Linked DNA regions of Struthio camelus. The protein of the gene in region 1 purifies or fractionates together with the protein of each later gene. This does not show direct contact. Links are inferred from orthologs where the notes say so. Each region holds a gene or a part of one and is shown on either strand. Other genes may lie near its edges.

Region 1 (7,960 bases):
AGGAAGTTTCTCTGTTGGGCCAGAGAAACGAGGTCATTGCTCAGCTCACGACATGCAGGACAGCAGAGAGAGATGCATCACAACAAACCAGAAAGATCTGGGAGAATCCTTCCAAAACCGGATCAGAAATGCTGTAGCCCATTCATCCCAGCAGGCCAAGTGGATGCCCTGCAACAGGACAGCCCTCCCCACGCCACCAGCCAGTGACCTGCCCAGCTGCACCCGAGAGCACTTGAGGCCAGGCGTGATACATAGGCTGCAGGACTACGCTTCTAACAAGCTCAGGCCCGGAAACTGCTGGTACTGCTTGGCCTGGAGCAGGATGCAGCCCTGCCAGAGAAGCAGGCCAACCAAAACACGCTGGGCTAGGGAAGTGGGGGCCTATCCCCATCCCCTCCTGCCCAGCCCTGTTACAAGGCTGTTGAGGAGAGTGGACAGGGATGGACGGACAGCAACGGGCACACGGTCCTGCAGGAGCAAAAGGGAGAATGGGTGCAGCTCAGTGGTGGGATGTGTTCAGCCTGGGTGCAACATGGACAGGGGCTTCCAGGGCTGCACCTTGCACATGGGTGACCATACGCCCTCCTCCTTTCTCGGGCCCCACGTGAGACAGCCTTTCAGCCTGCCAGGAAAACCCTGGCACCAAGAGAGAATCCTGCACACAAACAGCCCCCAACCATCGAATGAGAAGGTCTCACAAAGTCCACCTGGGCCAGCAACACCAGATCTTCGTGCTGAGTTCAGCTCCGAATAGATCGTTCTGAACGCTGATCACTGACCAGGCGAGTGAGCCACCAAACTAATGCACTTACAACACTCAGCTGACACTACAGACAACTTCTTCTATACTGGAAGAGACCAGCATTTGAGAAATCTCATTCAAAATTAAACATATCTAACCAAGGTAAATAAACAGTTCTCCTGCACGAACAAGTGAAATATTTTCTAAACAGAAGCTAGCTCTCTTCGTTCCTGGCCTAAAGCCATAAGTCCATTAAACATGACAGTAAAATAGCACTCGGGCAAGAGCACTGCGCGTCTACCATCTCTGCTGGCAGCTCAGCGATTCTCCCCAGCAAGGGACGACAACTTAGTGCTCTGAAGAAAGACCCAGCTGAGTCAGAGTCGACCTAAGAGCGTTCCCTTCTTAGACTCTGCATGTCTACTCTACACTCTTCTTCTCAAAGTTTCCACCCATGAAACAGTGAGCGCAGTCCAAAGCTGAGAGCAAAAGCAGGCAGAACAGTGACCAAGGAAAGGCTCAAAATGCTTTTAAGGAAGCAGGCTCCTGGGGAAATTCCTACTTAGTAATTTAGCTCTGCTCTCCCTAACTATCCAAGCACTTTGAATGCAACATAAAAATCTTAATTGTGCATAGCTCCTGAAATTCTCAAGTCACTCTGGAAAGCTGTCTGAACTGCAGAAGTTTCCAACACTATAATGTAGCAGTCTTTAACCCATATATTTATGGCATTATGCAAAGGGCCTGTAAAGAAGGAACAGAAGAAAACCTCCCCTCAGGAGGCTGGGGTTCACTAGACAGGGTCCACAGCTCCTTTAGAAAGTGTTCAGGAGTGGCTGCGAACCAAAAAGGACAATGGCACAGATAGTAGATTAACTTCGTTGCAAGACCCCAGAGAAGAAAACGGTCTGAAAAGAGCAAACCTCTGTTTAACCCTGTATGGGAAAAGTGAAACCCTCATAAGGAGCGTTTTTTTTTTTTCAAACAGGCACAAAGGGTAAATACATTCCTGGCCAAGACTGATATGTCTGATGTTTTTTCCCCATGTGAAAACCCTTCAGATACCCCTCTGAAGAGGGGATCCAATTAAGGCCACTGCTCCGTCTCTAACACTCCCTGCTCAGAAGGGCTGCCGACCACGTTAGATAGCTCTCTTCACAAGCCGCCCAGCGACACGCACGGCTCCTGTGTGGCAGGAACGACACCATTCCAGGCCCACATGCTAAGATGCCATTGACTTTGTTATAGCGGAGATCCTAAAGGCAGAAGGCAAACCACCAGGCCATCCCTGCCCAAAGCAGAAGCAAGGCCAAAGCACATCTCGCCGATGGCCTTGTTCACAGTAAGGGGAATCTACGTTCAAACTTCCTCCGACCTCGTCAGACTCTGCTGCTACTGCTCTAACTCTTTTATAGGCTGTGCCAGCTATAGAAAGCACATGCTATTTCAGTGTAGAGCACTCATCACCGCGTTTAGCTTGACCTGGGTTGCAACAAGACAGTGACGGATCCCACTGCCTGCAGATATTTGCCTATGGGCCGGTAGTATTACAAAGAGTTGGATATGGAGTAACAGGTGGAAGAACTGAGAGCGGTGGAAGGGATGATGCCTAAGAACCAGCCTCAGCTCTCATACAATAAGACGGACACAGGCGGACATACAATGCATTGGCAAAAGTCCTGGCTTGGGGAATTGTCCTACACATTCCTGTCCCTGCGCAACACTCTGCTGTGCTTGTACAGTTGATTACATGGACACGTGGCAAAACAGATCAGAGAGCCAATGCCAAGGAAAACAACCACCGCTACCAACAAAAAAGCCTGTGCAGTTCAGGGGACCAATTGTTCTGAAAAGCAAAACAAAGCAACAACAACAAGCCCCATTTCCACTGTGCTATTTCTGGGCTGGATCAGCTGCCTGACCTAGCCCACTAAGTGGATTCATAAACAGCTGTTCAAGCATAACAAAGACAGCGGTGTCGGTGGGGACAAGCAGCTGTAGATGGAGACGACTCAAGCAGCACTGCTGCTGAATACCAAAACTGCAGCCTAAGGCACCATTATAAAATTCCTAAACAGGTTATTAGAGTAAGTTTCTACTCAGTTGCTACTCCAGACCTTGGTAAAGCTTCTACATGTTGCCCAAATCAATAAAAACACAGCTCGAGAAACACAGCCAGGAAAACAATAAGGCACTTTTTGTTCACAAGTTGGAGCATGACCCAGGGCAAAGGAGGCTGGAGTAGCCTAAGTAACATTAACGTTCATTAATATCGCAAGAGGAACTAGAGTGTTAATTCTTCCACCGCTCTTTCTGCCTGTGCTTTCTGAAATAGAAGTAAGGCTGTGTCTTTACAGGATTTTTTTTTTAAATGGCATCGACAGCAGAAGTATCACTGCTAGCACAGATTCTAGAAGCGCAGAGAGGCGTAAAATCCCTTTTCCAACTAACAAACAAGCAGCACCACAGCTCTCCAGGCTGCTTCTCATCACCAAATGCAAGCCTAGGGTCAGGAAACGTAAGCCTCACCTAAGCCTGTACACATAAGGTTTCTTCTTCACTGACGCTGTGTCCAAGAGGGGACACCAGGCATGCGAATGAACGTTGCCCCCCCCCCCAGCCCACCCCAAACTTTTAGGGCTGCTCTACTCAGCGCGCAGCTCAGCCAGGCTGCCGGCGCCAACCTAGCTGCACTGGTGTCACCGCACAGAAAAACGGCCCGTGACCTTCCCGAGCGCGCTCCTGAGAGGAAGGCTCCCCTTGGCAGGAGCTTCGTCGCCGCCTCAGGCGGGCGGCCCGCGCTCTGCTCTTCCTGCCCGGCTCACCGAGCAGGGGCGCGGGGGGCCCCCCGCGCAGAGGCCTCCGCAAAGGGGCACCGGGCGGTGCGGGCCTTACGTGTGCCTGCGAGGGCGAACCGTCCTTCGGCTCTTCCTCCTCCTCCTCCTCCTCCTCCTCGGTGCTGCTGTCGCTGCCCGAGTCCTCCAGGCCGGAGTAGACGCTCTCCTCGCTGTCCGTCAGGTCGTCGCTTTCCGTGCCCGGCTCCTCCGGCACCGCCGCACCGGCAAGAGGCCGCTGCAAGGCAAGAGCCGAGGTCGCATCACACCGGGGCCGCGAGGGTGGGGGGGGGGGACCCGGGGGCGACACCGGCGGCGCCCGCGGGGCCCCTGACAGGGCCCGGGCGGCCCCCGACAGCCGCCGCCTCCCCCCTGCCCCGGCGCGGCCGCCCCGTAACCATGGTGACGCCTCCCCGCCGCCGCCCCGTAACCATGGTGACTCCCGCCCCGCCGCCGCCCCGTAACCATGGAGACGCCCCCCCACCTCCCTCCCCCGCGGCGCGCGCGCCCCCCGACCTGCTCCATGGCTCCTTCCCGCCGCCCCGCGTGCGCCGCCGCCGGCCACGTGCGCGCGGGTCAGAGGTCACGGCGCACCGCCCCCCCCACCCCTCCCCTCCATCCCGGACCGGTTATTTTCTCATTCTTCTTCCGCTTCCGCCTCGCCGCCGGCACGCACCGCGCCGGCCCCGGCGGGAGGAGGGGCGAAGACAGCCGTTCGGACGGAAAAATAAAAAATAAAATTAAAAAAAAAAAAGAATCGGGGAGGGAGGTCAAAGGTGAGAGGGGAACTCGGCCTGAGGCGCATGCGCCCTAGCCCACCCGCCCCTCCCCGCCCCGCCGGGGGCACCGCGCATGCGCGCGGAGGGGCGGACCCGAGGCGCCGGCCCGGCGGCGCATGCGCGGTGCCCCGCCCCGCGCCGGGCGGTGGCGGCGGCGCGGAGGGGGCGTGGCCCCCCGTCCACGGGCGGCGGCGGCGGCGGCGGCCGCGGAGGGGGAGGGGGCGGGGCGGTCCCGCGCATGCGCGCGGCCGTCCCGCGCGGGGGGCTTGTCTCGGAGGCGTCCCAAGATGGCGGCGGCCATGCTGGGCCCCGGGGGTTGCAGTGCGCAGGCAGCGGCCGGGCCCCGCCGCGGCGGTCGCCGGCGGCACTAAACCCCGCGCCGCCCGCCCGCCCGTCTCGGCCTTCCCTTCCTCCCTCCCTTCCCCCCCCCGCGCCCGCCCTCCGGCGGCTCCCCGGGGGGGGGGGACGCGCCGCGGCCTGCCCCGGGGCCTGCAGCCGCGGCCGCCATGGAGGGGCCCGGCGCGGCGGCGGTGGGCGCCGGCCCCGGCGGCAGCAACGTGCCCGCTTTCCTCACCAAGCTGTGGACCCTGGTGGAGGATCCCGACACCGACTCGCTCATCTGCTGGAGCCCGGTGAGTCCCGCTTGAGGGGACGACGCGGCCGAGCCCCGGCCTGTGGCCCGGGCTCCGCTGTGACTTCGCCAGCGCCAGACCTGAGCCTCGGTGTGTCACAACGTCGCAGCGGGTTCCTGCGCCTCTCCGGGAGAAGCGCTTGCCGAATTAGAGGCCTTCCCCCCACCCCCAGTGCTTGTGCAGCCTGTGAACCTCGTTGCCTGAGTAACACCCCACGGGGAAACGAGCTCTCCCCTGTACTTAAGGGAAAAGCGGTGTCCAGGTGCTCGCCTAACTGTTCCTGCGGCAGGGAACGCTGTGTGTGGCTTTTAGAAGCGTCATTATAGCTTGCAGCGGTAGAGCCTGCGTGCAGGCGAGCCTTTCTAGCCTTTGCCCAGCGCTGGGCACGTGCTTCTGGTGCGTTTCTAAAAAAAACGCCCCAGGTTTGTACTTAACACCAGTCACGCAAGCTTCGTTTTCCATCTCTTCTAGCCACTCGTGAAAGTTTAACTTTTGTCTGAAAGATAGCGGTATCCAGAGCGTATCCTGTGAGCAGTCTTTTGGAGGGTGATACGTTCACAGTGCTCACCTGCAGTCAAAATGGAAAGCTTCCTTGCTGTTTGGTTCTTAAGTTGACAGACCAAACAGTTAAGTGGGAATCAAACTCTTATGAATGCTCAATTACTCCGTCTCCCACAGTCTGTTAACAGACTCCCATATCACCTTGTCCTGACTCCAGATCAGATACTTGCTACCAGAACCGATGAGGGGAGAGAAATACGCTGACATTGGTAAGAGTGAAAAGGGCTGTCATACACAGGTTTCACCTCAGATGGAAGTGAGGAGCGAAGACAATGGGAACTGTTGTTAAAGATAACAAAAATGAAAGATAAGGGCCAAAATAAAAGCTAATATATCCTGGGAATGTTTTTTCTTGATCATAGCGTGATCATAGCTGCTCTCTACCGACTTCCGTCTGCTTATCTGACTCAATGTGGTAGTAACGAGATGAAAGACCTGCACTGTGTGTTTTCCACAGATATTGCATTGCTCTTTAACTATGCAAGTCATTGCCTGTAAACAAATGCCTTGTCTTGTCACTGGAACAAACAGAGACTTAATGCCTTGCGTTTAATGAGTTTATGATCATTACCGTGTTGCTGGAATAGTAACCATGAGAAATTGCATTTGCGGGAGGGGCGGTGAACAACATTACCCTGTTCCCTTGCGTTTGGGAACTGCAGTGGGAAATTCAAGTTGCCTTAATCTTAGCTGTGGGTGGAGGAGGTTGCTTGGAGATACTATGCAAACTTTGGGCTTCTGTTTACAAGCAAACAGATTCGCCTAGGCTTCTTGGGTAGTGCTACAGTGAACTGGGACTGGAAATCAGCAGGCTTTTGTAAATAGGAATGATGTGCTTTGCTTGTGCTGCCAGGTACGCAAAGATGCTTACATCTTTAAGTTTCTCCTCCTTCTGGGGGGAGAGGGAAAGAAGGGATGAATGGTACCTGTGATGCGATTTTAAAACTCAAGAGTTTATTGAAACGCGTGGTGTTTGTCAGTGTTGAGGCTGCACAGAGGACTTCCTGACTGCTTGCTTCCATCCCTGTGGCATGATTTGCTCCTCCCTCTTCTTTGGGGTTATTTCTAATCTGGGCCATTTCAATTTGTGCCATGAGTACGCAAAGTTGTATTAGCCCATCGAGGGGGTAAGTAAACTGTTCCTAGGAGGCGGGAATGAAAAGGCGAGGAAGAAACAATCATAAACTGTTTTTTTCATCTTGTGAAACAAGCATCCTGGGTAAGGATTATTTCATGGTAACTGTCCAGGTACGTGTTCTTGTCCTGTGTTAAATGTGCAATATTCTAATTTGTACAATGTGTAATAAACTCCTCCATGCTTACTGTAGGGTAAGTGCGCATGAAAAGCAGTACAGTAACTCACTCATGGTGTTGGAGCCCTAAAGTTCAGCCTGGAGACACACTCCAAGGCAACTTTGCTAGACTTGTAAATAGATTTTTAGATTTTTTTTTTTATACTCTTGATAACTGGATGACTCTTATAGGTCTTGACAAGGGAAGGTCTGGATACAACTCTCAAATTTATCGTAAAGGTCTTAGCTCCTGAAGGTCTTCACTTCAGAAGTTTGTTTTTGCTTTTATGGAATGACTGTGCCTGGCATCTGACCTCCTTGTTATTCATGATGTTGGAAGTACATATTTTATGAGTTGATGATGAAATCTGTGCGAAACATCCACTGTGTGAAAACCTGGAGAAAGAGAGGGCTCCTCCCCTAAGTAGTTCTCTTTTCTTTTTTCTTTCCTTTTTTTAATGCAAAGAGTGTGGATACAAAACCAAAGTGGCTGATTATTCGTAAACTATCTCAATGGTGCAGGATGTTGGCTGGAGGAGAAAAGAGCTTTGGAAAATCTACGCAGCGGTAGTCCGAGAACTGAGCCTTTTAGTATCAGTGAAAAGCAAATTTTGCTTTGGTGGGAGAGGGACAGAGTAGGAGACAAATCTTTGCTTCATGCGCAAGTTGCTTGCTTTGTTGTTCATCCCGTTCTTTCTTTTCTCTCTCTCCCTTTATCTTGTACCTGTTCTCTTTTTATCATCTGCATTTATTTCCTTTCTTTCAATTTCCTGTGCTAATGGGTGGGAGGGAAAAGCTGCAGGGGTTCAGGCGCATGGATCTTGAAGTGCTTGCAATGAGGAGAGATCTTTTATGTGTTTGTGAGAAGAAATCATCTCAGTAGAAAGGAAAATCAACATAACGGGAGGGTTAAAGAAGCAGAATATACTTCTTAGATGTCTAACTCTTAATTTTACTGCTTTGAAGGTAAATTCCTCAAATATAAATTTGTATGATTCCGTGACACAGTTTTTTTAGTAACTTTCTCATCTTTGAAACCTCTCTACAGGTAATGCTGGATTTTCAAATGTGCACCCCTGTGTAGTCACTGCGGGTCTGAGAGGCAGGATGGCTTTTAGTC
Region 2 (7,015 bases), on another chromosome or scaffold:
ATTTCTTGAAAATTTTTTCTTTTTTCTTTAAAATTTCTTTTCTTCATTTTTCAGAGCTGTTGTAGGGGCTATCACTGCAAATATCTTCTGGCTGAATAGTAAGAACAAAACACTAGTTTTAAATATGGTGAAGTGTTGTTTATTTTTTAATTAGACTACCAGGGAAGTCCCAGAATCTGTAGCATACAGACTATACAGACACTATAGTAAACAACTGCTCCATTTACCTTACGCACAATTCAGAGGTCCTATGTAAGAGTCTATACTGGGGTTCAGTCGGGGGCAGAGGTACCTGCTTTGGGGCAGGGGCACCTTCAGACCCCATTACTGAGGTGTTAAGAACACTTAGAGGAGGCAGTCTGAATAAATCTCCAGTGAACGTTCAGAATGCTAAGCCTAGTTACAACATTTAGGATATTCCTATTAATTAGTTTCTTTCCTCATTCTGCTCTATTATTAGTACAACAATAATCCGAGAGAACATATTACTAATATTTACTACTGTTTCAGTACTATATCCACTGTCAATAGAAAGGCCTTTTTTCTTTCCTGCCCTAGCTAGTTTCATGGAGTTGTTAAATTCTGCAGTGCAGTTTTGCACATGGCTCTTTTTAGAAAATGATAATGTTCCATTTTCTATTTTATCGGAAAAATGCAACTCTTTCCAACCTATTTTTCCTAGTGATTTACCAAAATTTTCTTCTTGAACTTTAGGACATGACTCCTTATCTCATTATCACTGTGTTTAGACATACAAAATACAGTGGATCACACCAGCTTTCTCACAAAACCTCGTGCAAAAATACAACATTATGGTCCCCAAAAACATAATTAGTATAAACTAACCTTGAAAGAGATACATAACAGAAGAATAAAACAAATTTAAAAGTAAAAATAAACTATTTAGTCTTATTTTTCTTATCAAGTTAACACCTTTAAATGGAAGCCATTTTTAATTAGTCTCTCTCCTAAGCCAATAGCTGCATTTCCTTTTGCCTATTAAGGCAACTTAAAGCAAATAATTGAAATAGGGTGCTGGACTCCAACCTTTTTTTTTTTTTTTTTTTTTTTTTAAAAGTCAAATCACTGAACTCAATCATTGACTAAGTCCTGCAACCTGAGCTCAGAGAAGTGCTCCCACCTCCACACACACACACAACCTTGAACACTACTGCTCTTCAAGTTCAAAAAATACGTTTGAGCTCGTTCTGCTACTCCAACTGAATGACCAGTTCATTCAAACTGAAGAAACATATTGTGTGTTGAGGAAATGGGAATTTTGGTTTCTTTTCATTTGTATAAATTGGCAAGAGACACCTACTTCTGCAAGAGTACTCATGCTCATTTCACAGTATAACAGCTGAAAAAATAATACTCTAAATGTTAAGCTATATACTGCATGAACAAACATGGGAGTAGTAGAATATTCTCCTCATTAGGAAAAAGATGTACCAAATTACATGAGTGAGAATCAACTTCCATTTAACAACCTTCTTTGAGGTATAAATGGAAAACAAAATTAAAATCTACTAGTTTAAATCTAATGTTTCTTGCTCACTGACTTCAATCTTGATTAGATTCAACAAATTCAAACCAAACCACCTTGATTTATTTTGGGCCATTTAAATCTCTGTGTTATACAGTCACTTGAAAAACTGTTACCAGTTTGATAGTTGTTTAATTACCTATCGTACACAGCATACTGATGTTCCCAGGCCAAGGTGGCTGCCATCCTCTAAACTTCAGCATAGAAAAGTTGCCTTTTGACTGTTTCTTATTTCAAAGTCCATGCAGGAAATTCCTATTTCCTGATGCAATTCTTCCATCATTTCAGCGCAAAATAGACACAAAATGACAACAACTACGGACAATTTTAAATAACACAAGTTAATTTTACTTTTCAAGCTTTCATTCTTATACATTATGCCATATAACCATGAGCAAGGGATGTTTATCCTTGCACAATAGGGGATAAAAAATTATGAATGTATTTTGAAAGCAAATTAAGTGGAAACTATTGCCAATCATTGTAGCATGCTTGGTGCTAATACTGTTCCCCAAATGACCTGGTAGATGAATGCGGCACTGCATATCTAAAAATTTAGAGCTTAACAAAACATGTTTCAGTTTTATCAGCCTAAGACAGCTTGGTCCAAAAGGTTGAACCAATTAAGCTCCTCACTTTCACTCACCAGATCACACCTCCTAATGACTTTTCTACAATAAAAGTGATACTCTGACATGATTTTTTTTATTTTGGTTTGTTTTCTAAAGAGAGTCAGCTTTTTGCTTCCAAATCATAATATATTAGCAGAAAATAAAACACTTAAGACCAATCAAAAAAGAATTATTGCATACTCTCCTCTAAGCATACAGTTGGACTATGTTTGCCATGGCTCAAGTTCTCAGGAAACGCTTAAAGCACATGTGTTAATGTGCTTTAAATGGCTATAAGAAAAGGGGCTAAGTTGACACACATGAAGTTGGTGAAGACTATTTCCTGTTCTACTCTAGTAAGGATTGTACAAAGAATCTCGAATCTGAAAAGTCAGCCTAAAAAAAATGAATTTCCAATATAACTTGGAGAATACAGCTAGAGAAGTTTTTATTCTGACAAATGAGATGCTACATCTTTGAACATCTAGCAGTTTCAGAGCAAGTCGAGGCTGCAATCAAAACATCCATTAGAGTGCTCCACGTTTCAGAACAAGCAAGCAAGTGGTTGTCAGTGCAGCCAGTAAATCACCTGATCCTATTACAAAATCAATTACTGCAGCACATTTCTATTGCTACACAACCTGATGATGGCAAAATGATATTGGATAGCTACTGCAAGGTCAAGAAAACTGCTAAGAACACCTGAAATCTGTCTTTTTATCACATAAGTTCAAATTATAAAGCATCCTGTTAATGGTATATTTTAATTTTTGAATATAGTTACCTTCTTTGGCTGACTGAGACATTCAATGGACAGTCTCTGCAACTGCTCTGATGTATGGCTGCAAGATAGCAGATCGGAGCAGCAGGTCGAACAGCCCAGCCTCTTCATTAAAGAAGAAATAATGCTGCAGCCACAGCCACACATTGACTTGCTCATCAGACGAGTTTATTCTTAAAGAAATCGGGACAGTCGGCGTCCCGTAAACGCTCAAAACTGCTCAACCGCTTCATTCTGCAGCTCCCTGGCTGAAATTAAGACTGTTGAACTGAAGGAGGAGGGAAGAAGGGGAAAAAAAAAAAAAAAAAAAAAAAGGCACTTGTCCAGGGAGCGTCGGCCCAGCCCATCATCAGCAAGTAAACGCGGGCTTTAAAAAACGTGCACGTTGTGCCCGGGACTCCTCTTTGCGGAGCGCCTCCCCGCTGCCCGCCCGCTGCCCCTCGGGCCGGCCCCGGGGCCACCTCCCACTGCCGCCCCGTGGGCTGCGCTCCCCTCCGGGGCTGCCAGCTCTTAGGGCTCCACCAGTCCAAACGACAGGCGAGAACGTCGAGCCCTGTGAGGCGGCTGGGCTCCGCAAGTGTCTTTTTGCACCACCTTAAAAAAAAGATAAATAAAAAAAATTTTTTTTCTTCTAACTTCAAAAATGGGAAAGCCCTGAAAAAAAGCATGCTGGGGTCTAGCTAGATCCTGAAATAAGAATGGCTGCTAGGAAGCTGTGTGAGCCAGGAGGACATCAGGAAACAACAGCAAAAATGTAAACGGAGGAAGAAACAAGAAGGAAAGAATTTGAAGTAGAATGTCAAAAGGTAACAGAGCCAACTCCCGAGAGAAGTTACAGGGGCGGCTAGCATAAGCAGCTTTGATAAAGTCTTGGAGGAGTCCTTCACTCAGAGAAAAAAGGATCTGGAAGCAGCAGAACTCATTCAAACGAGCAGTCAGACATAAAAAGGCCTTCTAAAAGCAGTATACTCTGGTTGCAATAGTGAATACCTTTCTAACCTAACGCATGCAATTAACTCACTATGAGAAATATCTCATTTTCAGGAGATACTGGTACAATAACCATGTAATTTTTCCTTCCCATATTTAAAAAAAGATGCAAGTAATATTGTAAAAAGCTCATTTTAATTGGTTTAAGACAGTATGCCATACTGCTTCTAAAAGCAGAAGGTCTCACATTAACACAAATGCTTAACCTGATTACAGGATAATCTGACTTGAAATAATTGTCACTTACATTTATAGAGCTATCATGACTTGCCTGGTTCAATAGCATCCTCTTTATCAAAAGGTTAAGAAAAATGCAAGTGACATGAAAGCAGCTTAAATGAATACATTGACAAAAAACTTCTTGTTTTTGCAATGCACTGAAAGCTTAATTTCTCTCCTGCTCCCTCTCCCCTCCCCTTTACTGTTTCTCTCTTCCCCCTCCCTTTCTTTGGTTTAAAGCTCAACTGAGCCTCTCCCTTCACCTTGCTCTGCCCTTTCGATATCCGTGTTTCCATTAAATCAGTTTCCAGTTACATCTATATACGAGCATGCACAACAAATTGAACAATAAAAGAAAGCCTTTGGTAGATAAAGACTAGAGATGCAAACAAGGAAAATAATGCAGTAACCTTTTACTCGCCTGCTGGAGGTACTGTCTGCTGCACAGAATTTTAAATCCTCATCTGCAGATGCAATTGAGCTGGTATTGCCAAGGACTTTGCTCTTCCTGTGCTCATTCTACACAGCTATTCATCGAAAGAGCACATTATATAGGAAATTTAAAGTAATATCAGGTGAAATTACTCAGATGGCTAGAAAGGAGCCAACTTCTAAAAAAATCAGCTATTGCACATTACAGAGATATGTCAGACACATTAGTGAAGAAAGTCTTATTGCTGATGCATGCTTGCCAGCAATGTGCAGGATGTGGAAGCAGAGAGAGCTAATGAAAAAAAATTAATACACAGATTTAAAGTGCAAGGATCATGCTCTTATGCTCAAAACTTCACATATCCTGCATACCACAAAAACCTCTGTTCACAAGCTTCTATTGTTTAGAAAGCTAAGAAAACAGTGGTTAAAAACAACCCTCACATCCCCCCACTTCAAAACCTGGTCTCTCAGTAGACTGCAGATAAGTTCCAATAAAAATATTCATACTGTACACACAGTATTTCTAATAAATGAAAACCCTACCTTTTTCTTTTGGCAGCATACAGTTAAGGATCACGCTATTATATTTCTTAACAAGGGACAGACTAAACAAAAACAGCTGTATTTTGGATAATGGATTTAAGTCTAATCAGGTTACAAAGTACAGTTGTATCTCACTAGAATTTGTATTATTCTTAGCAGAAATGAAATGCCGCCTAAGAATATAATAATAGCAGTAAAGCCTGCTATTCATTATTTATGATTTTTCCCCTCCTCATGTCAGCTTCCTTAATGTACTATTGATTCTAGGATGCATGCAGATAGGGCTTGTGACAGACAAGCCACAGCTGTATAGGCTATCTGCAAAATAAATATTTTTAGGAACATCTAATATTTTTGCTGAACATCTAAGCAATAATACTGCAGAATTTGCGTTTCTATCTACGGACAGTGGAATTTAAGTCCCTCTGATAGTGATGTAGTTCAACAGAGAAGAACAAGCTTTGTTTTTCACCTATAAATGTCCTATAATGCTATTTTAAAAAATGAGAACAGATTTGCTTAAATTTCACATTGCTGTTACCACAATATTTTGTTTCTTCTACTTTTCTAGCATCTGATTCCAGAAAAATTCTCAATACATCGGTACTCCGTCTTTCCTCTGAAGTTAAAATTGGTTGCTATTAGTTTTTTTCATTACTTCCCTATTTCTAAGTGAAATATTACATATGTGATGTTATCCTTTATAGTATTCATTGACAGGACAGAGTCATGCAGACATCATCCTTGGAACTGTTATATTTCAGAACACCAGTTACTTTTACTAGTATATTAACTCTCACTACTTCCACAAACTTGGTCAAATCTGAACTTTAAAAAAAAAAAAAGCAGGATTGCTTATGGTTTCAAAGGAACATTTATCATACTAATAAAGCTTCCTTGTCATAGTCTCCATTACAAGCCACAGCTGTTTTTAAAAAAAAAAAAAAAAAAAAACATAACGGAGAGATGATTTCATGCTGAGCTAAGGCTGTACTCTCTTGTATGCAAAATCTAAATGGGCAAACAGCCAGACACACTCTTAGTTAAAGAGCCTGAACACAGAATGCGGAAAAGACTGTAGACTATGAAAAGCATAAGTAGTAATGAAAAAAAAAAAATGTGCAGAATATATACTTCACTATATTGTTCACAATAATATATATAGAAACAATATATTAACTGTGAAATAAAGCTCCTGAACAAACAAATATATACAACTTCCTTACATCTTTAAGAAATAGCAAGAGAACACCAGAGAGGCTATATGTGTAAAGGGTTTGGAGAGAGAAATTTTCTGCAACAGATGAATGAGTCTTAAACTCTTTGAAAGAGGGTATGAAACAGCAGAGAGCTCTGGCTTGTTTGATGGCCTGGCCAGCTCCCTCCTTTTGCCTGCACAACTATCTAAGTTCCACTGTCTCAGAAAGTAAATCCAACATAACACAGCCATCTAACATTTTACTTTTCAGAATTATCAAAAAATAGCTAATTGATATGTAAGCATACTTCCTTGCACTGAATCAGTCTTCTCAAAGTTGATTCTTAAATTATTGCTAAAAAAAACAGCTAAGCTTTCAATACATAACTAAATTTTAATACAGTCAGACTACACATCTGTTTGTGCAAGACAGAAATTAGCACAGGATAAGAATTTAGGCATTTTTTTTAATTATTTTTCAAGTGAAGATGACAGCAATATGAAGGAAATCCTTCAAACTTAATTAAAAATAATACAACTTAAGAATTTATACTGTCATGAACTATTTTTAAGCTATGTATTTCATCAGAATCCTAAAAACTGCTTGACATACATATATCAAGAGCCCTTTCATATACCAGTATGATAGGCAAATAGATACAAGACAGTTTCTAACTGAAGGTTTACTATGG
Region 3 (7,834 bases), on another chromosome or scaffold:
GGGGTCCCGAGGGATCCCAGGGGGTCCCAGGGGTGCCAGGGCAGGGCTGGGGGGGGTCCTGGGGGTCCTGGGGCAGAGCTGGGGGGTCCCGGGGGGTCCCGAGGGGTGCCAGGGCAGGGCTGGGGAGGGGTCCCAGGGGGTCCCAGAGGTGCCAGGGCACGGCTGGGGGGGGCCCAGGGCTCCCAGGGCATGGCTGGGGGGTCCCAAGGGTGCCAAGGCAGGGCTGGGGGGGTCCCGGGGGTCCCGGGGCAGGGCTGGGGAGGTCCCGGGGGGTCCCAGAGATACCAGGGGAGGGCTGGGGGGGGTCCCAGGGCAGGGCTGGGGGGGTCCTGAGGGTCCCAGGGGTGCCAGGGCAGGGCTGGGGGGGTCCCGGGGCAGGGCTGGGGGGGTCCTGGGGGGTTCCAGGGGTGCCGGGGCAGGGCTGGGGGGGGTCCTGGGGGCCCTGGGGCAGAGCTGGGGCGGTCCTGGAAGGTCCTGGGGGTGCCGGGGCAGGGCTGGGGGGGACCCGGGGGGTCCCGGGGGGTCCCAGAGATGCCAGGGCACGGCTGGGGGGGGTCCCAGGGCAGGGCTGGGGGGGTCCTGAGGGTCCCAGGGGTGCCAGGGCAGGGCTGGGGGGGTCCTGAGGGTCCCGGGGGTGCCAGGGCAGGGCTGGGGGGGTCCCGGGGGTGCCAGGGCAGGGCTGGGGGGGTCCTGGGGGGTCCCAGGGCAGGGCTGGGGGGTGCCGGGGGGGGGGGGCGCTCACCCTTGAGGCGGGGGTGCTGGCGCAGCAGGCTGTGCAGCAGGAAGGCGGCCTTGGCGCGCAGGGGGGGCGGGGGGCCGCAGGCGGCCTCCAGCAGGGCCGGGAGCCCCCCCAGGCGCTCGAACTGCTCCAGCCCCTCGGCCCGCGCCCGCAGCAGGCCTGCGGCGGCCGGGCGCTCAGCGGGGCCGGGGGGGGGTGGGCGCGCGCGTGCGTTCCCCCCCCCCAATCCCACCCAGGACTCACAGGAGAGGGCGAAGAGGGCGGCGCGGCGGGCGCCGGGCTCGGGCTCGGCCCGCAGGCGCCGCAGCAGGGCCGGCAGGCAGCCCAGGGCCAGGGCCCGGCCCGCCGCCCCCGGCAGGTTCTGCCCGCAGGCGCCCACCAGCCGGGCGGCCGCCGTCCGCACCGGCGCCCGCGCGTCCTCCAGCAGCCCGGCCGCCGTCTCCAGGCCCCCCAGCGCGCACAGCTCTGCCGCCAACCGGGGGGGGGGGGGGTCAGCGTCGTCCTGTCCCCCCACCCCGGGACCCCCACCACCCGGGGGGAGCCTCCTCGGCACCCCAAACCCCCCGCAAGCACCCCCAGATCCCATCAAGTACCCTCAGCTCCCCCCCTCAAGCACCCTAAGACCCCCCCCAACACCCCCCGCCACCCCCTCGGACCCCCCCGGGCATCCCCAGACCCCCCCGACACCCCCCCCACCCCCTGGGACCCCCCCCGGGCATCCCCAGACCCCCCCCACCCCCTGGGACCCCCCCCGGGCATCCCCAGACCCCCCCCAACACCCCCAGCCACCCCCTAGGACCCCTCTGGGCCTCCCCAGACCCCCCCAACACCCCCAGCCACCCTCTGGGCCCCCCATACTCTATCAGCCACCCCCTGGGACCCCATAAAGGCCTCTAAGACCCCCCTCGGGTACCCCAAAGCCCCCCCCAAGGACCCCCAGACCCCATCAAGCACCCCAACCCCCCCCAAGCCCCCTAGGACCCCCCTGAGCATCCCCAGACCCCCCCAACACCCCCAGCCACCCCCTGGGACCCCTCCAACTCCCCCCGGGACCCCTCTGGGCATCCTCAGACCCCCCCCAACCATCCCCAATCACCCCCTGGGCCCCCCCCAAACCCCCTTTGGACCCCCCCAGCGCCCCCCTACCTGTGGCGTTGTCGAGGCTCTCGCAGAGCTCGGCCAGCAGCTCCAGCACGTGCTCGGGGCTGGACTCGGCCTCGGCCTCGGCCTGGGGCTCCCGCAGCAGCCGCAGGCAGCGCCGCAGCTGCTCCGACTCCCCCCCGACGCCGCCCAGCGCCGCCGCCACCGCCGCCCCCAGCCACTCGCGCCGCTGCCGGCACCGCGCGTCAGCGGGGCCCCGGCGTCCGGCCCGCGGCGCCCCCCGCCACCCCGGGGCCCCGGCTCCCCCTCCCCACTGCGGGCCCAGGTGTCCGGGCTCCCCCCCAGTCAAGGGCCCAGGCGTCCGGGATCCCCCCCAGTCAAGGGCCCAGGCGTCCGGGCTCCCCCCCAGTCAAGGGCCCAGGCGTCCGGGCTCCCCCCCAGTCAAGGGCCCAGGCGTCCGGGCTCCCCCCCAGTCAAGGGCCCAGGCGTCCGGGCTCCCCCTCCCCACTGCGGGCCCAGGTGTCCGGGCTCCCCCCCAGTCAAAGGCCCAGGCGTCCGGGCTCCCCCCCAGTCAAGGGCTCAGGCGTCCGCGATCCCCCCCAGTCAAGGGCCCAGGCGTCCGCGATCCCCCCCAGTCAAGGGCCCAGGCGTCCGCGATCCCCCCCAGTCAAGGGCCCAGGCGTCCGCGATCCCCCTCCCCACTGCGGGCCCAGGCGTCCGGGCTCCCCCCCAGTCAAGGGCCCAGGCGTCCGGGCTCCCCCCCAGTCAAGGGCCCAGGCGTCCGGGATCCCCCTCCCCACTGCGGGCCCAGGCGTCCGGGCTCCCCCCCAGTCAAGGGCCCAGGCGTCCGGGCTCCCCCCCAGTCAAGGGCCCAGGCGTCCGGGCTCCCCCCCAGTCAAGGGCCCAGGCATCCGGGCTCCCCCCCGCCCCGCGGGCCCAGGCGTCCGGGCGCACCTCGTCGCTGAGCGGCTCGCGCGGCTCGGCCTGGGGCTCGCTCGCCGTCACCGCCATCTCCAGCAGCCCCTGCAGGCTGCGGGGGGGCTCGCGGGGGGGCGGCGGCCCCCCGGCTTCCTGCTCCGCCATGATCCTACGGCGACACCGCCGTCAGGGAACCGGGGGGACCGGGCACGGCGCCGCCCCCCCCTGAACTCCCCCCCCCCCGCACCTCCTACAGCCTCGCGCGCTCCCTGGGCGCCGCCATCTTGCGCGGGGGGCGGGGCCGAGCGCGGGGGCGGGGCCTGGACGGCTGCGTGAGGCTGGCGCTGCCCCCCCACGGCCCCCTCCCCGCGTCCCCGCTTTGTGCCGCTGAGCGACAGCTCTCTCAGCCAATGGGAGCGAGCGGAGCGGCGCCGGGGGCGGGCGCCCCACGGTGCGGGGGAGGGGCAAGGCGGGTGATTGACGAGGCGCGAGGCCAATAGGAGCTGGGGAGGGCGGGGTGGGCTCGGTCGGGGCGGGACCTGGTGGGGAACAGGGCGGGGCAATGCGATTGATGGGGGAATCCAGCCAATGGAGAGAGAGGGAGGGCGGGGTTCGTGCCGATTGGCTCGGCGGGCACCAATAGGACGCGGAGGAGCGCCGACCGAAGAGGGCGGGAAGGGAGAGTGAGCGGGCGGGGCTACCTGCGACAGGCAGGCGGCTCAGCCAATAGCTGCGGCTCTCCGACGGGCCCAATGAGAGCGGCGCTCCCGGCCTCCGGGGGGCGGGACTGCGCGGACGGAGGCCAATGGGAGGCGGCGGGCGCCGCCAGGCGAGCGGGGCGCGTGAGGGGGGCTGGGGCGGGGCAGGGCGCGACTGACAGCGCCCGCGGCCAATGGGAGAAGCCGAGCGGGTGCCGGGGGCCAATGGGGAGCGCGGGGGGGCGGGCACGAGCTGTGAAGGCTCCGGGGGGCAGCGGGAGAGGGAGAAAGGCGGCGGCGGCGGCGGCGCCGGTGGGAGCAGGTGAGGTCGGGGCCGCTCCCCGCCGGTCCCGGGGCCCCCGCGGGGGGGGGGGGAAGGGCCCGCCCCGTCGTGCCCGGCGGCGGGGCGGCCTTGGACGGTCCCTCACCGGCGAGCCACGCGGGGCCTGGCGCCGGCCGCCGTGTGGAGGGAGGCGGGCGCCGCTCTTCGGAGCGTTACGGTATCGCCGGGGTCAGAGCAGCCGCCTCCGAGACGGGGGCGCTACTACGAGCATTGTGGTAAAGCCTTGTCCTCCCGTCACCTGAGGCGGAGTGCTGGGGTTCCGCTATTAGGTGCGTTACGGTAAGCATAGGGTTGCTCTCCCGCCCCCCCCCCACGGGGGGCTGCTATATGAGGCGTTACGGTGGAAGGTGGGGCTCTATTCAGAGCGCTACGGTAAAAGCAGCGGCCCTTCCCCACCCAGGCGGGCGCTGCTAGTCGGAGGATTAAGGCGAAGCCAGATCTCTCTTTCTCTCTTTCTTTCCTCTCCAGCCCCCCCGCCCCCAAGGCCGATTCGGGGGGCCGGTCACTGAGAGCATTACGGTAACAGAGCACGATTCTACCCCCCCCTTATAGTAACAGGGCAATGGGGGTGGGGGGACATTGTCGGCTCCATTACGGTAGCGGGGTCATTGCGGGGGAGCACTGCCGGCCCCATTACGGTAACGAGGATGGGGGGTCGCGGGTGTGTGCGACCGCACTGGGGCCCGTGCGTTGGGCGCATTACGGTAGTGGTAGGGGGTCCCGGAGCCGGTGCATCGGGTGCGTTATGGTAGCGGGAGAAGGGACCCGGAGCCAGTGCGTTCGGTGCATTACGGTAGCGGGTGTCCCGGGGCCGGTGCGTCGGGTGCATTACGGTAGCGGGTGTCCCGGGGCCGGCGCGTCGGGTGCATTACGGTAGGGGGATCCCGGAGCCGGTGCGTCGGGTGCATTACGGTAACGGGAAGGGATCCTGGTGCGGCTGCATCGGGCGCATTACGATAGGGGGGTCGCGAGGCGGGTTCGTCGGGTGCATTACGGTAGGGGGATCCCGGGGTGGGTGCATTGAGTGCATTACGGTAGCGGTTGTCTGAGAGCCGGTGCGTCAGGTGCATTACGGTAGTGGGTGTCCCGGGGCGTGTGCATCGGGTGCATTACGGTAGGGGAATCCTGGAGCCGGTGCATCGAGTGCATTACGGTAACGGGGGCCCCAGAGCCGGTGCGTTGGGCGCATTACGGTAGCGGGTGTCCCGAGGCGGGTGGATTACGGTAGCGGGAGGGGGTCCCGGGGCCGGTGCGTCGGGTGCATTACGGTAGCGGGTGTCCCGGGGCCGGTGCGTCGGGCGCATTACGGTAGCGGGAGGGGGTCCCGGGGCCGGTGCGCTGGGCGCATTACGGTAGCGGGAGGGGGTCCCGGGGCCGGTGCGTCGGGTGCATTACGGTAGCGGGTGTCCCGGGGCGGATGCGCTGGGCGCATTACGGTAGCGGGTGTCCCGGGGCCGGTGCGTTCGGCGCATTACGGTAGCGGGAGGGGGTCCCGGGGCCGGTGCGCTGGGCGCATTACGGTAGCGGGAGGGGGTGCCTCCGCCCGCCCGGTCCCCCGGGGGCGGTGCGGGTGCCCACGGCGGCGCGGCGGCGCAGGGCGGCGGCGGAGCAGCATGCCCCGGGCCGGACCATGGGCGCCCCGCGGGTGACGGCGCGGGAGCTCTGCGAGAACGACGACCTGGCCACGAGCCTCGTGCTCGACTCCGTCCTGGGCTTCCGCACGCACAAGATGGGCGTCAGGTCCGCGGGGTCCTAGCGCCGGGCCGCGGGGAGGCACGGGGGTCCTAGCGCCGGGCCGCGGGGAGGCACGGGGGTCCTAGCGCCGGGCCGCGGCGGTCCCGGGGCGGGGGAGGGGGTCCTAACGCCGGGCCGCGGGGAGGGTCTCAGGGGTCCTAGCGCCGGTCACGGGGGGTCTCAGGGGTCCTAATGCCGGCCCCGGCGGTCCTGGTGTCCCGGGGGGGTCCTAGTGCCGGGCCGGGGGAGGCAGGGTGGTCTCAGGGGTCCTAGTGCCGGTCCCGGGGGGTCTCAGGGGTCCTAGCGCCGGTCCCGGGGGGTCTCAGGGGTCCTAGAGTCGGCCTCGGCGGTCCTGGTGTCCCGGGGGGTCCTAGTGTCCCGGGGGGTCCTAGTGCCGGGCCGAGGGAGGCAGGGGGGTCTCAGGGGTCCTAGTGCCGGTCCCGGAGGGTCCCGGGGGGTCTCAGGGGTCCTAACGCCGGTCCCGAGGGGGTCTCAGGGGTCCTAGAGTCGGCCCCGGGGGGTCCTGGTGCCCCGGGGGGTCCTGGTGCCGGGCCGAGGGAGGCAGGGGGGTCTCAGGGGTCCTAGCGCCGGTCCCGGTGTCCCGGGGGATCCTAGTGCCCGTCTTGGGGGGGGGGGAGTCCCGAGGGGATCCGGGGGGTCCTAGTGCCGGTCGGTGGGTCCCGGGGGGGGGTCCCGGTCCCGGGGGTGCGGGCGCTGAGGCCCGGTGCAGCCCCCTGCCGGCCCTGCGGCGGCAGCAGCACCTGCGCGCGGCGGTCGAGGGCTTCCGGCGGCGGCGGGACCTGGAGGCGGCGTTTCGCGCCCTGACGGGCGGCGCCTGGGCCGGCGGCTACTTCCAGCGGCGGCGGCCGCTGCAGCAGGCGGCGCTCAAGAGCCACGTGAGCCGGACGCCTGGGCCCCGCGGGGGGGGGGGGGCATGGGGGACGCCTGGGCCCCGCGGGGGGGGGGCATGGGGGACGCCTGGGCCCCTCTGTGGGGGGGGGATGGGGGATGCCTGGGCCCCTCGGGGGAGGGGGGACGCCTGGGCCCCTCTGTGGGGGGGGCATGGGGGACGCCTGGGCCCCTCTGTGGGGGGGGCATGGGGGACGCCTGGGCCCCTCGGGTGGGGGGCAGGACGCCTGGGCCCCTCGGGGGAGGGGGGACGCCTGGGCCCCTCGCGGCATGGGGGACGCCTGGGCCCTGCGGGGGGGGCATGGGGGACGCCTGGGTCCCTCTGTGGGGGGGGGGAGGGGGTACGCCTGGGCCCCCTCGGGGGAGGGGCAGGATGCCTGGGCCCCTCGGGGGGGGCATGGGGGACGCCTGGGCCCCCTCGGGTGGGGGGCAGGACGCCTGGGCCCCCTCTGGTGGGGGGCAGGACGCCTGGGCCCCTCTGGTGGGGGGCAGGACGCCTGGGCCCCCTCGGGGGACGCCTGGGCCCCCTCGGGTGGGGGGCAGGACGCCTGGGCCCCCTCGGGGGATGGGGACGCCTGGGCCCCTCGTTGGGGGAGGGGGCCCGGACGCCTGGGCCCCTCGGGTGGGGGGCAGGACGCCTGGGCCCCTCCTCGGGGGAGGGGGCCCGGACGCCTGGGCCCCCTCGGGGGAGGGGGACGCCTGGGCCCCTCCTCGGGGGAGGGGGCCCGGACGCCGGGGCCCCTGCCCGGCTCACGGCCCGGCGTGTCCCCCCCCCCCCCCCAGATTTTCCGCTACCTCCGGATCTTCCTGCCGGAGAGCGGCTTCGCCATCCTGCCCTGCAGCCGCTACTCGCTGGAGACCAACGGCGCCCGCGTCGTCTCCACCAAGTCGTGGTAGGGGGGCGCCGGGCGGGGGGCCGGGGCCCGCGGGGACGCCGGGGCCCGCTGACGGCGCCGGGGCCGGCCCGCAGGCGGAAGAACGACAAGCTGGAGCTGCTGGTGGGCTGCGTGGCGGAGCTGACGGAGCCGGACGAGGGGCTGCTGCGCTCGGGCGAGAACGACTTCAGCATCATGTACTCGACCCGCAAGCGCTGCGCCCAGCTCTGGCTGGGGCCCGCCGCCTTCATCAACCACGGTGGGCCCCCCCCGGACCCCCGGCCACCCCCCAGGGCCCCCCCCGGACCCCCGGCCACCTCCCAGGGCCCCCCCGGGACCCCCGGCCACCTCCCAGCTGTCCCCGGGACCCCCAACAGCCCCCCCGGGACCCCCGGCCACCCCCCAGGGCCCCCCCCGGACCCCCGGCCACCTCCCAGCTGTCCCCGGGACCCCCAACAGCCCCCCCCGGGACCCCCGGCCACCCCCCAGGGCCCCCCCGGGACCCCCGGACCCCCGG
Region 4 (7,778 bases), about 130 Mb from region 1:
CCTCAGTTTGCTTTATGGTGTTTTTGTAGCCCTATCTAGAATTAATGTGCGTTAGTTTGCAAATGCAGCGAAGCCATTTTAAAACTGTCAGATTTGTAGACTTTGCAGAATTTTGTCTTGGTGTAGTGAAGGCTGAAAAAATAACGTCTGTCAAAGACAAAGTCAACAGTCGTTTTTTTCTAAAATGGAGATATGAAGTTGATTCTTTCCTAAGCCCACTCTTTGTGCCCTTTCATTTTCTTAATCAATTTTTCCTCTCCTTCCCAAACAGAGCTTTACACGGCTTAGCAACTCATTAAGTGGAAGGTGCAAACAATGAAGAAAGATAAGGAAAAATGTCACGTTTCCCTTTCAAACAGCAAGCGTCTGTATAGGATTATATCTTGTGTGGCACTTGTTTTGATTTGGGACTATGAAAGACTGATTATTTAAAGCAGAGTATGTATTTCCAATTAGATTTTAACTGCCTGCATATTCCAGGTATTCCAGTATTCAAGTCTGGAGAGCGTCAACTTAATCACACTGGCTTTTTTTGCCTCCAAAGGAAAAAGAACATAATACTGAAATTAAAGGAAAATAAAAATATGAAGATGTCCAACTAGTCTAGGAAAGCAACTTCTTTCAAGAGAAGGAAGCATGAAAGACGAGGAACGGGTAGAGATAAGGAAAACAAAAAAGACGAGAAGAAGAATGACACAGACTCACTATACCATAGTAATAACATTATAATTACTGGTGATGAGGCAAGCTGGCCACAAGTGCAAAGCTTCCTATGAATGTTCTCCTTTGGACTAAAATTCTTGCTTTCATTCAGTGTAAGATGAATTGCTTTCAGAAACTCTTTTCAGCTTCATTCATTCTTGTCGCTTAAGATAAATGCTTAGGACTTCTAGATCAAAACAACAGTTTTTTTTCTTTCTAAGGCTATATAGCTATATAATCTTGCATAGAAGAAAATGATTTTTTGGGAGGGCGGTAAAAAATAACATACTCAAGAGTATGTTGCTTTAAAAAAAAAACACATTAAAGACTTAATTAGGTCTCTTGTGCATCAGCACCGCTTTCTAAGTTGTCTTCTTAAGCCTTTCTAAACTGTTGAAGTAATATTTGATTCCAGAGCCTGCAGAATTACTGAATATTTCTTAAAAACCTGTATATTCTGAGATTATACAAGTCCATGTAAATCTCAAAATACTAACTTAAGTGAGGTATAACATCCGTTTAAGGGTAGGAACTTCACTAGACCCTTAAAATTCCCTTCTTTAGAATTCCATGTTTTAAGGCATAACTTAGACATTTGAACATTGAAAGGTCATCCATGGCTCATCTCTCTCTCTGTGTATTCAGAAGTCACATGTGACAGATACAGATGTTCTTCAGGGGGTAATCACTCTTTCTTTCTGAGGGGTAAGATTATAACACTGATGTGACATTGTAGTAAAGGGTTTTAACACACAAGAGGCAAGAAAATCAGAATTACAGTTCCAGAGCTACACTATCCCTTAATATGTTTAGGTTTTGCATGCAAATACATAACGAAGCAGAATTAGTTATGGTTCCCATGGGAACCATAACTGATTCTCCTGACCTGTGCAGCAAAATTCGCAACATCAAAAGATTAAAAATACTGCGTTCACAGGTTCCTTTCCCTCCCTGCGCCCCCCCCCCCCCCCCCGGATAATTCCCTCTATCCTCAAATTAGGGAGAAGTGGGCAATCAGTTACTAAAAAAAAGTTCAGACATTCATCTTGGTGAAAGCTGTAAAATATTTTGTTATATTTTGTTTACAGTAAACTGTAAAGCAAGTACTCCATAGCACTTATAAGCCAGGAGTTCATACAAGTATTTAATATATCTTGATCTGGGTAAATTAGTAATAATTTTAGTATATTTAAGAATAGGCCTTCCGAGTACATTATAAAACAATTCTGCTCTCCAACTTTAAACTGTATAGATGTATTTTTGCTTACTTCCCTGCCTAAATCTCAGATGCATCTCACACCATATTTCTCCAGGTCTATCCCCTACAAATACATGTGTTATCATTAGTTGAATAGTAATTAAAACAACTTCTCCAGCAACCAACTGCCCTTAAAAGTCCATAATTTAATGTCAAGCAAAGCTTTACAGGGACTTGAGATCCATGAATGCATCATTAAAATGGTCCAGGAGGGGTTGCCATCTGATAACCTCTGCTCCTATGAAATTCAAAGAAACTGTTATTTGTTAAAAAAAATCGTTTCAAAAGGCATCTTAACTATGCCACATCATTTTCCCAATAATGTTATTTTTCATCAGTAAGGAGATTGCCTTTTCTCAAGCAATCTGTCTTACCTGAACAGACTGGGCACAGTTAAATGAATACACGAGTCTGACTTTACTTCTTTTTACATACATGATGAACTACACAGCGTGCTGAAAGGAGGCTAAAAAAATCCTTAGTGTTTTCTACTGTAGTGCACATAAAATGGCGCACAGTCCTTTAATTTTTTTTCCCAACAAGTCTCAGTAGAAATGGCAGATTTATTAAAGCCAAAGATAATGTCCTTTCTAGTAGCCTTACTTTCTGGATCTGAAATTTTGGTCAGAATAATGCTGGGGAGGGGAGATGTGGATGTATCTTTTTAAAATGGAGATGCCAAGTTATAAGTTTGAAGAAAAATGTTGATTAAATCCTTATATACTTTAGGTGTGCATGAACTTACCAATGTAGTTTTATTGGAGGCCATTTTTATTGCAGACTTGCAGAGCTTTTACTAGAAAAATGCATGACAATTAAAAGGAAGTTTACATTACTCAAAGAAAGGCATCCCAATACAAGCATGGTCCTTGTTCCAACCCCCATGTATTCACTGCACATAACACTCCTAATACGGATTAAATCCAGAACAAAAAGTAGGTTACTACTTTGTCCAGCGTAACCCAGTAACACACCGTTATGCTAGCCAGGATACACGATACCGACAAAGTCGTATATAGAGTTGAAAAAAGGTTTTCCCAAGGCCTTCTAAGGCTCAGAGATGTTTCTAGGGAAAAGGGGGAGGACCATCAGGGATGCATATTTCCTTAAACCCAAGAGAAGAAGAGTAGAGATTCTAGCAGTTAATCAAGATATACCTAGATGTATTAACTGCGAATCTGGTGGGGAGCAGCTACATATCTGCAGTGTAATAAGGAGTCACCCATTACTCTTACATAGTAGTAAATGCTTATCAACAGCCAAACGTTATCTTAATGCAACTATAACGTTGCCTTCTGATTTTCAAGTTTGCAAGAGTTAAGGTTCCTATAGCAATACTAACTCAGCAGCTAAGCTGTACATACTATGTATGTAACCTAAGCAAATGATGTTGAACGCGATCCATCCCCTTTTCCACGTCGTTTCTCATACTGGCCACCTCTGTAGGCATGTATTATCCCCGCCTGACTGCAAACTATAGAGCTGTTACAATTTTGCATTTGCCCGGGCAAGGCAAGAGAAGTCCTTCTCCAAGGCCAGAAAGCCTCCTCGGCTCTGCGATCCCGCCCAACTCGCCTCTTATGTGAGAGGGGGGTTTTGGCAGCCCCAAAGGCGGTGGGGTGGGTGAGGTGGGAGGGCAGGGATCAGGGCCCCGGCGCGGTGGGCCATGCCATGTCTCCGTCTGAAAGGCAAGGGAGAGGGGAGAAGCAGCAATTCCCCCCGCCCCCCACCCGAAAATAAAACGGAATAACCCCCGGGAGGCCTGGGGGCGGTGGGGGGGGCAGCGCAGCGGCTCAGGCCTGCGGCGGGCGCAGGCGAGGCGGCCGGGGCCGAGCTAACGGGACTAAGGCGGGCCGGCCCGGGGGAGGGGGGCGAGGGCCGCGGGAGCCGCCCGCCCGCCCGCAGCGCCCTCGCCGCGGGGCCGGGGCCCCCTCGCCGCCCGCCTCCCCCGCCCCCAGCGCCGCCACGTTTCCCCCGGGCCCCGCACGCCGCCGCCCGGAGCCTGGCGCCTGAAGGCGGCGCGGCCGGCCCAGGCCGCCCCCTCGGCGCTGGCGGGCGCGCTTTGTCTGGCGAGCGCGGGGGCCGCCGCCGCCCCCTCATCCCCCCCGCCCCGCCAGCCGAGGGGCCTCCGTGGAAATGCCAGGGCCCCACGAAGCCCCGCTCCTTCCGTTACCCCCCGCCGCCAAGGAAGCGGCAGCGCTCGGCTGAGGGCGGCGGGGGGGGGGGGGAAGGGGGGCGAGGCGGGCTGCCCCCCGCCTTTCCCGCCGTGGCCTTGAGGCGAGGGCCGCGGTGCAGGAGCGCTCCGCGGGGCGCCCGCTCCCCCGTGGCGGGAAGGGGGGGGAGGAGGAGGAGGAGGCGGCGGGGGGGGGGAAGGTTATCGAAGCGAGAGAAAGAGGGAGAGAGAGAAGGATACAGACTTCAATGGTGCTCAAGCCGCTCGGGTTTCCCGTCTCCTCCTCGCTCTCGCCCTGCGCGCACTGAGCAGCGGCGGCAACAGCGACATCTGAGGGGGGTTGAGGCGGGCGAGGGGGGGGTGGGGGAGGGGAAGGGGGAGGGCGGGGCGGCAGCGGCTGGGCGGCAGCGCGGCGCGGCGCGGCGCAGGGCGGGAGGCGGCGGCTGCTGGCGGGGCTGGGCTGGGCGAGCTCTGCGTGCCGGCGACTGACGGGGCAGAGCGCACGACGCCGCCTACGCGCGAGCTGCAACCTCCTCCCGTCGTCGCCGCCAGTACAGGAGGGGGGCCAAGACGTCTCTCCAACGGGGGGCGAGTGCAGGACCGCGTCAAGCGTCCAAAAGAAGGAAGATGCCTCGCGGCGACAGAGAAAGCGACTGGGTGAGCGGGAAGTGGCGGGAGGGGGAAACGGGCCCGGCGGGCCGGTAGCCGCCGCCGCCGCCATGATGATCATCGCCATGAGGGCGTGCTGGGTCGGGGCGGCCGCCGCCCGCCGCAGGGCGAGCGAGGCCTTCAGTCCGTGCGGGGGGGCGCCTGGGGCGATCCCCAGGTGCGGGGAAGGCGGGCAGGGAGCGTTTGAGCGGCTTTGAAGTTCGTTTTGCCGTTGCTGAGGCGGGCCCGGGCCGTTTGGAGCGCGGCCATTTCCCGCGTTGCGGCGAGGCGGCCTAGTCTTGAGCGAGCGCCAGGGAGGGGGGAGGGGAGGGAGGAAAGCGGGAGTTGGAAAGCGGTTGGGGGCCTAGAAAGCCCTTTATTAAGTGGGGGAAACGGGTCCGAGTCAGTTTAGGGTGCTTCGCTCCGGGAGAGGGGTCGCTTCCCGGGGAGCTGGGAGGAGGGGGAGGAGAAGAGGGGGCGGGAAGAAAGGAGCAGCCCTAGCGCCATTTCCCTGGTGCGCGGGGCGGCGGCACTCACCCTTTGTCGCGGTGTGTGCGGGGCCGGTGAAGAGAGAAAAAGGGAGGGAAAGAAAGGAGGAAGGAGAAATAAATGTCTAAGTGAGTGGCTTGCCCGATGGGTTTTCTGTCCGTGTTGCGGGGTAGAGCGGAGCAGGCTGCGGCGAAGTCCGCCTCCCTTCGCTGGCTCTCGGCCCCCGGCGATGTCTCGGTGCTGGCGCCAAAATCTGGGCAGCTATCACTTCCTCCTACCCGGGCGGAGGGGGAAGGGGCCAACCCGCCGACAAAAAGGGGAGATGTCGGGGGCGCGCGTAGGCACCGCGCTGTGCTCCCGCCCGGGCCCTGCCAGTACCACAGGTGGCCGGGGGGGGGGAGTAAAGGTGGGGGGGGGGAACGAGCCCTTTGGCTAATTATAACCCCCTTGCTTTGAGGTTGAGTCTTCGGGGCGGTTCGGCAATTTCCGGAAAAAAAAAAAAAAACCACCCACGACGCGGTGCCAAGTCTGGTCGGGGCCGTTTCGGCTCCGCTCGGGCACGTATTAGAAAGCTCTTCCGTTGTCGGAAACTGCCGAAGGCGCTGTATCGTCGATGGCTGCTGCGTCTTTCTCTCCGGAAATTGCCGAGTGGGATCGGATCGCCATTCTTGTCCGTTTCGGCAAATTCCGGAAATAGCCGAAGCGAATCGAATGGGCTTCCTTTCCTATTTCGGCTTTTTCCGGCGACTGTCGAAGTGGATAAGCTCGACGACGACAGCTCCTTCGGCTCATTCCGGAGACAGCCATTACTAACGGAGTTGATGACTTTTTATTACGTGATTAAAACACATAGGGGCGTTATACAGAACTGTTGCCCCTTTGGAGATATTTAAGCTCCAGATTCGAGCTTTTTGACTAAAACATCGGCAGCGAGTCTGGGCTGGAGAAGGAGGGCGCTAGCACTACGTGGAGCTGAATTTCAAATTACGTAACAGTTAAGGCAGCCATTACTGAGCAGTTGTGCGGTATTCTCAAGCAGGGATACGTAAACCATGAAGAATATGGTATGTGAAAAGGGAAAAATACAGATTCGGCTGTTAGGGAGGGTGGCGTGTCTGGTTGTGGAGATGGAGTGCTTTTTCAGGATCGGGGGGTTAGGAGCAGAGTCGTCCTCGGGCAGCGTAGGTCTGGGTGCTGCTGCCGACCCCCGTTAGCGGCGGCGCGGCTAGCGGCTAGGTGCCTCTCCGCAGAGGAAGCGTTAGCAGGGAGGAAGGTTCTGGAAGCGGCGGTTGGGGCTGGTGCGCACTCGAGAGGGGAGGCGGAAGCTGCGGTAGCTGTGCGTGCGGGTACGAATTCTTAAATCTCCCGACATGTCCTTTAGCTGAGCTGCCGTTAGGGTGGTGCTGCGGGGAAGGGAGAGGGGGACACACACCACTATGGAGGTCAGTTAATGCGCGATCCGGGACTCTACTTTGCCCTGCGGGACGCTGAGCGGCCGGGGTGGCGCTGCTGATAATGGCGGTAACGAGGGGGAGGGGTAAAATGGCGGCGCCGAGACTCGCTCGTGCGTGAGGCTTTCAGGATGAGACCTAGGAGGGGAAAGGGGGTAGGGAGGGAGAGCAGTAGAGGCTGAGAGCCAGGCTGCCGTTGTTATCTTTATGGGAACAGAAAGCAATCGCTTGCAAGCTCTCCCTGGTAAGGCGTGTGTAGCCGGACGCTAGAAGCGGTTTGCAGCGACTGATTTGTGTTTTTCCTGAAGGCCCGAGTGTAACTTAGCTTCTTTATTCTGGCGTCGGTTCTTTGTGAATTTCTTTCCTTCCCGCCGCATCGCTTTCCCTGGAGGCAACGGTTGCTTCTGGGCGCCATTTTCCTCATCTAACTGCGGGGGCCCTTGTTTTCCTGATAGCCGCCACATGGCGGAGCCGGCATGGCAGCCGCTTCACTCCTGATAATACCGGGCTGCGGGGGAAGGGGGAGGACGTAGACTGATGGATCGGAAAGCCATGTAAGAGGTGTTAGGGGCTAACGGGGCGCGACTGCATAGCGAGTGGTTGGAAGTGTCTTTCTGGTTTGGGGCCAGTAAATCTGGGGAAGTGTAATCGCTTGGCAGTTTCCATTTTGGCGGGCAGTGCCAGCTCAGAGATTCCACTTACCTGTTTTGTTAACCGTTTTTGTTACTCGGATTCTTAACTCTGCAGAAGTCTGCAGTCAGCTTGGAGTATTTGTACCCATGCTGTTATGACACGAAACGCACTTACTTGGTCTGGTGATGGATTTTCCAGTGTAGGCTTCATGTTTTCCAGTCCTTTGAAGTGTTGCTTTTAGCCTGTGAAGGAAGGCTTAAAATAAGCCCTAAGGAAGATTTACAGATTTCCAAAAGATTTTCTCTCACAGTTTGTTACTGCGGTAGAATGCACTCTGGAAGTCTTTAAAGGAGTTTTTTTATTCTGTCTTTTATATTAGCTTGCTACCAAATGAGGGTTTTCATGAAGATTCTGAGTGGGACTG

What was found.
Region 2: the proteins of HSF1 (region 1) and FBXW7 purify together in Homo sapiens (affinity purification with western blotting; 4 studies listed by BioGRID, with this or other methods). This does not show direct contact. The link is inferred for Struthio camelus from reciprocal best matches to the Homo sapiens genes HSF1 and FBXW7.
Region 3: the proteins of HSF1 (region 1) and HSPBP1 purify together in Homo sapiens (affinity purification with mass spectrometry; 5 studies listed by BioGRID and IntAct, counting the BioPlex papers as one, with this or other methods). This does not show direct contact. The link is inferred for Struthio camelus from reciprocal best matches to the Homo sapiens genes HSF1 and HSPBP1.
Region 4: the proteins of HSF1 (region 1) and HNRNPA2B1 purify together in Homo sapiens (affinity purification with mass spectrometry; 3 studies listed by BioGRID, with this or other methods). This does not show direct contact. The link is inferred for Struthio camelus from reciprocal best matches to the Homo sapiens genes HSF1 and HNRNPA2B1.

The regions. Positions count from the first base shown.
Region 1 is NC_090943.1:172,755,471-172,763,430, reverse strand, and holds the start of HSF1 (heat shock factor protein 1), read left to right. Parts: upstream 1-4,828; 5' UTR 4,829-4,861; coding exon 4,862-4,987; exon of another isoform or gene 4,988-5,385; intron 5,386-7,960. Other genes in the region: ribosome biogenesis protein BOP1, read right to left, coding at 3,638-3,814, 4,253-4,381. UniProt on the Homo sapiens protein: Functions as a stress-inducible and DNA-binding transcription factor that plays a central role in the transcriptional activation of the heat shock response (HSR), leading to the expression of a large class of molecular chaperones, heat shock proteins (HSPs), that protect cells from cellular insult damage.
Region 2 is NC_090945.1:38,375,882-38,382,896, forward strand, and holds the start of FBXW7 (F-box/WD repeat-containing protein 7), read right to left. Parts: upstream 3,059-7,015; 5' UTR 3,050-3,058; coding exon 2,942-3,049; intron 1-2,941. UniProt on the Homo sapiens protein: Substrate recognition component of a SCF (SKP1-CUL1-F-box protein) E3 ubiquitin-protein ligase complex which mediates the ubiquitination and subsequent proteasomal degradation of target proteins.
Region 3 is NW_027182594.1:275,611-283,444, reverse strand, and holds the start of HSPBP1 (hsp70-binding protein 1), read right to left. Parts: upstream 3,127-7,834; 5' UTR 3,006-3,126; intron 2,928-3,005; 5' UTR 2,924-2,927; coding exon 2,795-2,923; intron 2,070-2,794; coding exon 1,886-2,069; intron 1,205-1,885; coding exon 983-1,204; intron 899-982; coding exon 743-898; intron 1-742. Other genes in the region: histone-lysine N-methyltransferase KMT5C, read left to right, coding at 5,430-5,539, 6,264-6,429, 7,226-7,335, 7,413-7,576. UniProt on the Homo sapiens protein: Inhibits HSPA1A chaperone activity by changing the conformation of the ATP-binding domain of HSPA1A and interfering with ATP binding. Interferes with ubiquitination mediated by STUB1 and inhibits chaperone-assisted degradation of immature CFTR.
Region 4 is NC_090943.1:38,644,786-38,652,563, reverse strand, and holds the start of HNRNPA2B1 (heterogeneous nuclear ribonucleoproteins A2/B1), read left to right. Parts: upstream 1-4,657; 5' UTR 4,658-4,760; coding exon 4,761-4,790; intron 4,791-5,318; exon of another isoform or gene 5,319-6,322; coding exon of another isoform or gene 6,323-6,334; intron 6,335-7,778. Other genes in the region: CBX3 (chromobox protein homolog 3), read right to left, coding at 2,706-2,729. UniProt on the Homo sapiens protein: Heterogeneous nuclear ribonucleoprotein (hnRNP) that associates with nascent pre-mRNAs, packaging them into hnRNP particles.